Linked DNA regions of Ovis aries. The protein of the gene in region 1 interacts with the protein of each later gene in a pairwise test. Links are inferred from orthologs where the notes say so. Each region holds a gene or a part of one and is shown in the gene's direction. Other genes may lie near its edges. The genes, in order: MYBPC3, ACTC1 and myosin-7.

Region 1 (4,085 bases):
AGGAGCAAGAATGAAGCCCCAGAGCTCCGGTAAGCAGCAGAGCAGCTCATGGAATCCCTGCTGGCAGGACCCTGACACAAGAGAACTCCTCCCACGTACCCTGGTGCCTGGTTGTGCTGGCCTCTGGCCCACAGCAGGGGAGAGGCAGAAAAACATGAGCCATGAGACTTGTAAGGGTTTTGCTTCCAACAGTAGCAAGAAGAGGCGGCCGGCAGCCTGGGAGTGAGGGAACTCTCATCAGCAACCCACAGACCTCAGAGAATCCAGATTCTGGGGCCATTTGTGTTGGGGCAGACACCCTCTGGAGTGCCCTGAGCCCTCAGGCTGGGGAAACTCAACCATAAGCCCCCTCCATGGATCTCTGAGCCCCGAGCTCAGTCTCTGAATTTTTATGGATTAATTTATTTTAAATATTTGGCTGTGTCATATGGGATCTTGGTCCCCCGACCGGGGACTGAACCTGGCCACCAGCAGTGGAAGCGCAGAGTCCTAACTCCTGGACCACCGGGGAAGTCCCAAAGTCCCGATGCCTTTTGAAAGACGGCCCAGGGACATGAGATGCAGTTTAAACGTGGTTAAAATGGCAGAAGAGAATGGATTTATGTTGAAAGGGATGGCAAGTGTTGACCACACGGACAATGCTTGTATATAGAATTCCTTGCTCCTGACAGTTGAGGGGCGGAGCAAATGACCTTCCCTGATAGTGGGTCTTGCTCACAGTAGGTCACATGTGATTTGCTCCTTTCTATGTAGAGGCTGACGTTCTTTGCGACTTTGGCGGGGTGTGGGGTGTGGAGGCAGTTGCGGGGGTTCAGAAGGACACTGAGGGAAGCTGGGACTCGGGGTCTGTGGGTGTAACCATCACCCGACATGGATGCCTCTGACCTGACAGCTTCAGGGTTCTGGGCCCCGCACACTCCCACCGCTCAATTTGCCTGTCACAAGGACACACGGACAGGGCTTGGGGTGCCCCTGTGTTCACTGAGGGTTGGGGGGCAGAATCTGTCCTGTGGGGTTGGTGGAGGAGGGGGAGGGGCCAGGGGCCAGCAGAGAAAGCCAGGGCCACACATTCTCCTGGAGAGCCCTTGATCTCGGGAATTTGTCTATATTTAGCAGGTGGCCGGGCAGGGTGCAGATAAGGAAGGTCTGGAGAGGGGGCGGCCCCTTATATAGTCGGGGACCGGAGCCCTGCTCAGAGTCTCTTTGGGTGGCCTGTGCCTGCTGGGTTCCTGCTGTGACCTCTCTCAAGATGCCTGAGCCAGGGAAGAAACCAGGTAGCTCCAGGCCTGGGCTGGGGGCCAATCGTGGGGCATGGAGGGCTGCGGACATCCTCGGTTGGGGGTGGGCCCAGGAATGAGCTCCTGAGGGGTTCCCAGGACAGGGCCTCTGTCCTCCTGGGTCCTTTTTCAATTCTCAGTTTCTCCTTCTCATCGTTCTGATGAGAGTGAGGGTAAACCAGGGTCAGGGGCCCAGACGGGGAGACAGCCAAGGCAGGAAGCCCCCAGGGCCATCGCCCCACTCTCAGGATGCCAGGTAACCCCTTCCCTGCCTGCATCCCCATCTTCTGCAGCAAGGTTAGGTCCCGGCTTGCCTTTTGGGGAAAGACTGCCGCAGGAGGCACCCCAGGATGGCTCCAGACTCAAGTCTGTCTCCCTGAACACCTTGGACAGGCCCCTCCCCTTTCTGGGTCTCGGTTTCCCCAACTCTACAAAGAGGGCTTTGGTGGGTTGCTTCCTGTTCTGAGAGTCTCTGCTTTGCCAGCCTGCGCCCCTGTGGCCCCCACACCAGGCATAGCCCCCACACTGAAGTGATGCAGGGCCTCTGCTCTGGGGAGAGGGTGGGCAAGAGGTCCCTGAGCCACCACCAAGGGCAGAGAAAGTCACAGCCTGGAGTCCCCGCCCTGGCCTTCCAAGGTTGTCCAGGTCAGGGATCAGCCCCCCAGCCCCAGCCCTCTCCCAGTCCAGCTTTATCTCACTTGCTGATTCCCAGCCCCAGGCCCTTAGAGGACAAATTTAGCCATGTCCAAGTAGGCAGAATGCTGGCCCCTTGCCAAAGGCCCCAACTGGTGGGGGTTGGGCTTCCACAGGCAGAGAGGGTGGGCTCTTCAGGGACACACCTAGCAAAATTCCTCAGGCCTGGCTCTCCCACTTCCTGGCTGTGTGATCTTGGGTAAGTCACTTAACTTCTCTGAGCCTCAGAGACCTCCTCTGGGGATAACTGCACCTACCTTGTAGAGCCACTGGAGCATTAAATGAGGTGATCCATTAAAGCGCTCATCACCTTATTTAATAAGAGGGGATGTAGGAATGGGGTGCAGGGGCAAGCCAGGGACCCCTGCAAACTCCATCGGCCCCTCAGTCTCCGCCTTCAGCAAGAAGCCGCGGTCCGCAGAAGTGGCTGCCGGCAGCCCTGCCGTGTTTGAGGCCGAGACAGAGCGGGCGGGCCTGAAGGTGCGCTGGCAGCGGGTGGGCAGCGACATCAGCGCCAGCGAGAAATACGGCCTGGCAGCCGAGGGCACGCGGCACACGCTGACAGTGCGGGACGCGGGTCCCGCCGACCAGGGCTCCTACGCAGTCATTGCTGGCTCCTCCAAGGTCAAGTTTGACCTCAAGGTCGTAGACGCAGGTAAGCGTCAGGGCAGCCTTCCCTGAAATTGGAGCAGCCCCTCCAGCTCTCTGTCCATCACCGCACAGGAGCTGTCTTCCCACTTTCTTGCCTTGGCCCTGGGTGAGCCTTCAGCCCGCCGTGGCCTTTTCCCGTTTTCTGTAGCAAGACCTTTCTGAGTGTCCCCGCGAGGCTCCCTGGCCCATCTGGGCCGTTCTGGAGGTGGGGGAAGTTCAGAGATGAGTCAGACGTAACACTGACCTCCCGCTGGACACCCCCACACGGATGGGAACTTGGTGGGCTGGGTGTGCTGGCAGGGAAGCCCCACAAACCTGTGGGTGTGTGCCGAGCCCCAGCCCAGCCTGACGGGCTGGACCAAGACCCGAGCCTGGAGAAGGAGAGGAGGGATGTTCAGGCCGACCCTCTGAGATGAGGGCACAGAGAGCTGGTGAGGGCAGGGAGAAGGTCAAACGCAGGCTGGATGGACTTCCTGCAAAGATGGGAAGGACCAGGGACAAGATAACTGGGGCGGGGGGCAGGGCGACTCTGATTAGAAGCTGCTCCACAACCCCCGACCTGATCCCCTCCAGGGAAAGCAGAGCCTGTGTCAGCCCCTGCTCCCGCCCCCACCGAGGCCCCTGCAGCCCTGGGAGAGGCCCCAACCTCTGCCCCTGAGGTGGAAGCAGGCGCCCCTAGTCCTGAAGGTGAGAGGAGTGGGGCAGGGAGGCCGGGTCTGTGGATGGGGGTGTCCCAGGGCAGGTCTCAAACGCCTCTGCCCACAGGGTCCAGCTCAGCGGCCCCTGAGGGCCCCAGTGCCCCTGGCGACCCCATCGGCCTCTTTGTGATGAGGCCACAGGACGGCGAGGTGACCGTGGGTGAGTGCGGGGCTGTTGCCCCCGGGGGCGAGGAGAGGGGACGGAGGTCCAGGGCGTCCCCCAAGCCCAGACGGTCGCCCCTCTCCTGCAGGTGGCAACATCACCTTCTCGGCCCGCGTGGCCGGAGCCAGCCTCTTGAAACCGCCCGTGGTCAAGTGGTTCAAGGGCAAGTGGGTGGACCTGAGCAGCAAGGTGGGGCAGCACCTACAGCTGCGCGACAGCTACGATCGGACCAGCAAGGTGGGGTCCGCGGGCGCAGGGTCACGGGGACGCACCGCGAGGGCACGTGGAGAGCCCCTGGAAGGCCCAGGGGCACAGAGAGGCAGGGGGCACTGTGAGACCTGAGCCACAGGGGAGGTGCAGAGCAGGGTCGTGGAAAGCCTGCAAAGCTGGTTGGGGGGTCAGCGGCACACAGCGAGCTTGGCGAGGCTCCGAGGAGGGTTATTGGGGGGCATAGAAGGACATGGGGGCTCAGAGGCGTGATAGTCTCAGGGGTGCGCTCAGTCGCATCCGACCTTTGCGACCCCATGGACTGTAGCCCGCCAGGCTCCTCTATACATGGGATTTCCCAGGAGTGGGTTGCCATTTCCTCTTCCAGGGGATCTT
Region 2 (2,849 bases), on another chromosome or scaffold:
AGGCATCGTTCTGGACTCTGGGGATGGTGTGACCCACAACGTCCCCATCTATGAGGGCTATGCCTTGCCCCACGCCATCATGCGTCTGGATCTAGCTGGTCGGGATCTCACGGATTACCTCATGAAGATCCTCACTGAGCGCGGCTACTCCTTTGTCACCACCGGTGAGTCTGTGTGTGTTTCATCTGCCACAGTAGGTGTCTGGTTTTCTCCTCCACCAGTGAACCCACCTACCTCTCCAAAGCTGATGTCATTCTTCAGAGCTTACTGGTGACCCTCTTTTTTTCTGCAGCTGAGCGAGAGATTGTTCGTGACATTAAAGAGAAGCTGTGCTATGTTGCTCTGGATTTTGAGAATGAGATGGCTACAGCTGCTTCTTCCTCCTCTCTGGAGAAGAGCTATGAACTGCCTGATGGCCAAGTCATCACTATTGGCAATGAGCGCTTCCGCTGCCCTGAGACGCTCTTCCAGCCCTCCTTCATTGGTGAGTTGTCTGGTCTGGTGCAGAAACACAGCTTGGGGCTTCCAGAGAAAAATCTATTATAATCAACAATGATTAAGGGGCCCTTGTGTTGAAAGTAGTCATAGCTGGGAGACCCACACAGTTCAGCCTCAGGTCCCAATGGCTTTTGCTGGGATGGCCATTCCTCCTCTGCAGCAATGATATGATAAAGGATGACACACCGGCTTCATCTTGAAACGAGGAATGAGATAGAGTAGTAACTGAATAATCCATATCTGCAAGGAAGAGACGATGACTCAAGAGTGCTGACTTATTCTGGTATATTCCATCACCAAGTAGCTAGACCGTACTTCCAAGTCATTCATTATGAAGTGTGACAACAATCCTACTGATGGTAATAACTGGACACTCACGTGTCACTGAACATCTTTCCTAAGCAGGGATTTCCAAGAGGAAGCTTGTCAGTATCTTATTTTAGCCCATAAATAAGAATGACATTCATTTCACATGAATGTGTGTCTCGTGCTTTTCTATTACGTCTTCATGGCTCTGATGGGTACAGCGAGTGTTCCCTCCAAACAGGTGCTAAAAGCAGTTGTTTGTGTCTTGGCAGTCTGTTGTAGATTACTCTCAGCACTTTTAAGACACCTGTTCCTCAAAACTCTGCAGTGTATCTCATAGAGGAACATATGTTTCAGAGACGAATGGTGACAGTTTACCAACACAGAGGAGTCTTGTTCTCTTTCCTCCACCCTGGCTCCATGGCCTGAATGCACTGTGACTTTTTAAAAACTTGTTCATAGGTATGGAATCAGCTGGCATCCATGAAACGACTTACAACAGCATCATGAAATGTGACATTGATATTCGCAAGGACCTGTATGCCAACAATGTCTTATCCGGAGGCACCACCATGTACCCTGGTATTGCTGATCGCATGCAAAAGGAAATCACTGCCCTGGCTCCCAGCACCATGAAAATCAAGGTAAAGAACTTCTGTGGTGGGGTGGGGGCAACCAAGCAGAATTCCTAACTCCTTTCCCCTCACACAAATAGCTTCCTGTCTCACAGAAACCTTTTGCTTTTATAGCACCTTTTCTGACTTTACTGGCACTTTCCCCAAGATAGGAGATTTTAAAACACTTTAGAGCAGTGGATAAAAATAAATCTTTGAGAAAAAAAAAAATCTGAATCTTTGAACATATTTTAAAAGACCCCAACTTTCAGGCTAGGCTTCACCATGCCTATAGCTTATTGCCGCATATTCTCTGGTTCAGAGAAGTGGGAAACTTCTACTTCACAGAGTCTTTGATCATGAAATGATGAAATAGAGAAAAATGCTTTCATTGTGAGTCAACCATATTCATTTGTAGGATTACTGGGCTTATTCATTTGTATCACATTACAGTGACTTGATCACCGGTGTATTTTCCGTGAATCTCCCCACCATGTTGCTTACTCTGTTGCTTGGAACCTCAGAGTTCACTGGCAGTTTTTGCTTTCCTTTTGCAGATTATTGCTCCTCCTGAGCGTAAGTACTCTGTCTGGATTGGGGGTTCCATCCTGGCCTCCCTGTCCACCTTCCAGCAGATGTGGATCAGCAAGCAAGAGTATGATGAGGCAGGCCCCTCCATCGTCCACCGCAAGTGCTTCTGAGGTGCCTTCTCTCTTAGTCTACATTACATTCAGGATGATGGTATGATGCTTTTTGGAGTCTTCTGAACCACCCTCCCTCATCTCTCATCAATCATTGTACAGTTTGTTTACACACGTGCAATTTATTTGTGCTTCTAATATTTATTGCTTTATAAATAAACCAGATCAGGACTTGCAACCTACAAAAGCAAGCATTTCTTATTTCTGTTTGGGGTTTGGGGAAGGAGTGGGATGGGGCCAAGGTTTGCTTACTCAGTCTGTGAGCTTGTATACTGATGGCCTTGATACCATGAGCTTTGTAATATCACAGCACCACATCCGTTCATCAGCGTGACTTTGAGCTGGGAGCTACAATATTAAATTTTGATTTTACCCTTTGGGACAGAATCATGAAGATAATTTATATCTGAAAAGCAGATTAGGTTTTTAGTTCAGTTCAGTTGCTCCATTATGTCTGACTCTGTGATCCCATGAACTGCAGCATGCCGGGGTTCCCTGTCTATCACCAACTCCCAGAGGTTGCTCAAACTCATGTCCATTGAGTTGGTGATGCCATCCAACCATCTCATCCTCTGTCATTTCATTAGTGTGATTAGGTTTAGGTCCACATTAGTGAGAAATGGATTGGAGAATACAGCTTGTGAAGATTAGTTTCTATGATAACACTGAAAATTGTGGTTTTAGCACATGTTCCAGCTATTTTTGTGACTTTGCCGAAGCCACAAAGATA
Region 3 (3,649 bases), on another chromosome or scaffold:
CCAGAATGGAGTTCAAGAAGCTGCTGGAACGCAGGTGAGGGAAGTTAAAGGGAGGGTCTCAGGCCTCTAAGGCCCAGCTTGACTCAGAGCACTGGAAGGAGAAAGAGCACCCCAGACCTTCAAGTGACAAAGGGCCACAACACAGCTACAAACACCAGTGGTGGGCGTGGGGGCTGGGGGTGGTGCCTCGCTGTCACAGTGCAGGATGGATGGAGGAGCCAGGGCCTCTGGGCCGGAAGGAGGGAAGAGGCTGTCTCACTGACCTTCTCACTCGGCCCCTGCAGAGACTCCCTGCTGATTATCCAGTGGAATATTCGGGCCTTCATGGGAGTCAAGAACTGGCCTTGGATGAAGCTCTTCTTCAAGATCAAACCACTGCTGAAGAGCGCAGAGACAGAGAAGGAAATAGCCACCATGAAGGAGGAGTTTGGGCGCCTCAAAGAGGCTCTGGAGAAGTCGGAGGCTCGGCGCAAGGAGCTGGAGGAGAAGATGGTGTCCCTGCTGCAGGAGAAGAATGACCTGCAGCTCCAAGTGCAGGCGGTGAGAGCCCCAGGCCTCTGCCCACATCTCCCACACCCCCTGCACCTCCCTACCTGGGGGCTCACCATCCTGTGCCCTCACAGGCGGAGGATTCTGGAATTAACACTTCCAAAGTCCTCCAAAGAAAGGGAAGGGGAGAAAGCATTAACTTAAAAATACAGGTTTTCCATCAGGATTTAACCTGGATCCATAGCTTAATAATTCTGTGACTTGAGGCAAATGATGTGTTATCTCTGGGTCTCCATGTCCTTATCTCTAGACAGGGAATAAAGTTGCCCTTCTCACCAGGCTGTAAATATGTAAAGTGCTGGCATCAACAAATACAGTTCCCTCCCCTTTGATGGAGGAGACCAGAGGAAGAGGGCCAGATAAAGAGACTTCTGGTTCCCTTCCTCTCTGCTCTCATTCCCCAGTGCTCCTGTCACATTGCCCTAAAACTCCTCCCCTCCCCATCCCTCTGAGGTTCTTCTCAGCTGGGGAGATCCTGGGGTTTCCCTCTTACAGTGAAGGTGGAGCCTGTCCCTCCAAGCTTTTGCCATCCACCCCATCCACCGAATAGCTTCCCCTCTGCACCTTGCCCTCAGGAACAAGACAACCTGGCTGATGCGGAAGAGCGCTGTGACCAGCTGATCAAGAACAAGATCCAGCTGGAGGCAAAGGTGAAGGAGATGACCGAAAGGTTGGAGGACGAGGAGGAGATGAACGCTGAGCTCACTGCCAAGAAGCGCAAGCTGGAAGATGAGTGCTCTGAGCTCAAGAGGGACATTGATGACCTGGAGCTGACCCTGGCCAAGGTGGAGAAGGAGAAGCACGCAACAGAGAACAAGGTGAAGGCAGCTCCCTTTGAATCCAGACCAAGTCTCAGGATTCCCAGACCTGAGCGTGGTCCTGGCTCTTGGCCTTGGAGGTCTCCATAGATGTCTCCAAGTTGGTGATGTCTGACCCTGGGGGGGATGGGGTTCTTGGCCAACAGGTGAAGAACCTGACAGAGGAGATGGCTGGGCTGGATGAGATCATCGCCAAGCTGACCAAGGAGAAGAAAGCTCTGCAAGAGGCCCACCAGCAGGCCCTGGATGACCTTCAGGCTGAGGAAGACAAGGTCAACACCCTGACCAAGGCCAAGGTCAAGCTGGAACAGCATGTGGACGATGTAAGTACACTATCACAAGGGTCTAGATGTACCAGGTCTGTCAGTGTCTGTGTGTGCATATGTGTGTTTGGGGGAGTGGGGTTAGAGAGTGTTCCTCTCCTGATACCTTTTAGAAGGGAACTGGGGAATAGACAAGGAGAGGGGTGATCAATTCAGAGTTATGTATCTCACCTTGCTGATGTGATCAAGAGTAGAGATAGGCTTCTTTATTTCACTTTAGGTTCAAGCCTATATGTCTCCATTCAACCACGGAATTTAGAGGGTTATCTCATAAGAACATGATGAATTTCCTTGGGAATTTTGTGAAGATCCTCAAGGAGGATCTTTGGACTTCTAATGGTTTAGCCAGGATCTGGTCCTCAGTGATCACTGCTCCCATAGGTAGTCCTTCGAGTACACCTCTACTGAATCATTCTTTATCGCTCTGTGTCATCATTATTGAAGTATGGGTCCCATCCATAGACTGGAAGCTGCCTTTAGGTGGAACTTGGTTTTATTCAGTTTTGCATCTGCAGTGCCTAGGATGGGGCCTGGACCCCAGTAGGTGCTTACAGGATGCAGATGATTAAATGAAAGTAGCTTTGGGATTTTATCCTATAGTCATTCATTCAGTAATTTATCAGAGTTACTGAGCATCCCTCCGTGGTAGGCGCTCTCACAATGCCCTGGCCACATTTGGCCAATTCTGGGGAAGTATTCCCAAGTCTTGACACCTCTAAGGATCCCTCAGCCCCAGAAAGAACGAGCTCCTAAATTATCAAGTCAGGATACTTGGCCTAAGGTCACACTGGTCCTTCTCTTCATCAGCTGGAGGGATCCCTGGAGCAGGAGAAGAAGGTGAGAATGGACCTGGAGCGAGCCAAGCGGAAGCTGGAGGGTGACCTGAAGCTGACCCAGGAGAGCATCATGGACTTGGAGAACGACAAGCAGCAGCTGGATGAGCGGCTCAAAAAGTAGCGTGTTCCCTGCCCCATCACCCATCCTCCTCCCCCACCCGCAGCCTGGTCCACTCATGGAAGTACTAGCTGACCCGACAGATCCATCCTCAGAGGCAACAGCCTCATGCAGCGTCCATAAGGGGGTGCAAAACTGTGGGCAGAGCCTCCAGGAAGAGAGCTTTCCTCCCCCAGACACACACATGAGGGCCCAGCAGGCCTCCCTGGCAAAAGTCTAACCCAGATCCCTCCAGCCCTCTCTTCCTGCTGGGCACTCGCCCCCTTTATACACAAGTCTCTTTGGAGACCAGTTGCATAACACAGAGGAAAGTTCCACACAAAAGCCTCTCAGGAAAGTCCTCTGAGGTCCTTCACAGAGAGCCCAGAGGACCACAGAGAAACGTGGTCAGCCACCACGTGTGAGCAGTGCAGGGTCTGGCTACTTCTTTGTTCAATGATCTTCTGGTTCCAATTCTTATTGCAAGACCTTCCAAAATGTGTAGATACACATTTCACACTTGGCAAAGAGTGAGTCTGCGCACATATTCATACAATCAAAGATCTTCTGTTGCTTTAGGGTCAGGACTCTGAAAGGCTCTGAGACTCATCCTGATCAACAGCCTCCCCAGAAAGTCTTCACACGTACCCAGGCACAGTACTTGTTGAATGAATGACTATATGAACCCACTGATCCTCAAGCGACCTTTTAAGAATGGTACTTGAACCCCACTTACCAAAGAGGAAAGGAAGGCTTGGAAAGCTTACCAAATTTCCCAAAGTAACAGACACAGAATTAAAGACCATCAGAGCTAAAAGGTGCCTTTGAGTCGGTCTAGTCCAATGCCCTCATTTTACAGACCAAAGAAGGGAGCATCTCGGAGCCCAGGTCCTGTCTCTCCACCTACAGTGCTCTTCCTGTTGTACTTCCTATTGAATTTCAATCCTCCAGCAGGTGTTACACTTTCAAGGACCCTACAACAGCCCTGGAAGCTGGTTATTGTTGGTTTTTTTTTTCCACGAAATC

Evidence for each region.
Region 2: the proteins of MYBPC3 (region 1) and ACTC1 interact in a two-hybrid assay, tested with the Homo sapiens proteins (2 studies listed by IntAct). The link is inferred for Ovis aries from reciprocal best matches to the Homo sapiens genes MYBPC3 and ACTC1.
Region 3: the proteins of MYBPC3 (region 1) and myosin-7 interact in a two-hybrid assay, tested with the Homo sapiens proteins (2 studies listed by IntAct). The link is inferred for Ovis aries from reciprocal best matches to the Homo sapiens genes MYBPC3 and MYH7.

The regions. Positions count from the first base shown.
Region 1 is NC_056068.1:76,122,765-76,126,849, reverse strand, and holds the start of MYBPC3 (myosin-binding protein C, cardiac-type), read left to right. Parts: upstream 1-1,194; 5' UTR 1,195-1,249; coding exon 1,250-1,274; intron 1,275-2,358; coding exon 2,359-2,625; intron 2,626-3,194; coding exon 3,195-3,308; intron 3,309-3,386; coding exon 3,387-3,479; intron 3,480-3,570; coding exon 3,571-3,719; intron 3,720-4,085. UniProt on the Homo sapiens protein: Thick filament-associated protein located in the crossbridge region of vertebrate striated muscle a bands. In vitro it binds MHC, F-actin and native thin filaments, and modifies the activity of actin-activated myosin ATPase.
Region 2 is NC_056060.1:28,471,726-28,474,574, reverse strand, and holds the end of ACTC1 (actin, alpha cardiac muscle 1), read left to right. Parts: intron 1-2; coding exon 3-164; intron 165-292; coding exon 293-484; intron 485-1,266; coding exon 1,267-1,448; intron 1,449-1,975; coding exon 1,976-2,119; 3' UTR 2,120-2,306; downstream 2,307-2,849. UniProt on the Homo sapiens protein: Actins are highly conserved proteins that are involved in various types of cell motility and are ubiquitously expressed in all eukaryotic cells.
Region 3 is NC_056060.1:21,310,441-21,314,089, forward strand, and holds part of myosin-7, read left to right. Parts: coding exon 1-34; intron 35-284; coding exon 285-540; intron 541-1,124; coding exon 1,125-1,367; intron 1,368-1,513; coding exon 1,514-1,690; intron 1,691-2,497; coding exon 2,498-2,643; intron 2,644-3,649. UniProt on the Homo sapiens protein: Myosins are actin-based motor molecules with ATPase activity essential for muscle contraction. Forms regular bipolar thick filaments that, together with actin thin filaments, constitute the fundamental contractile unit of skeletal and cardiac muscle.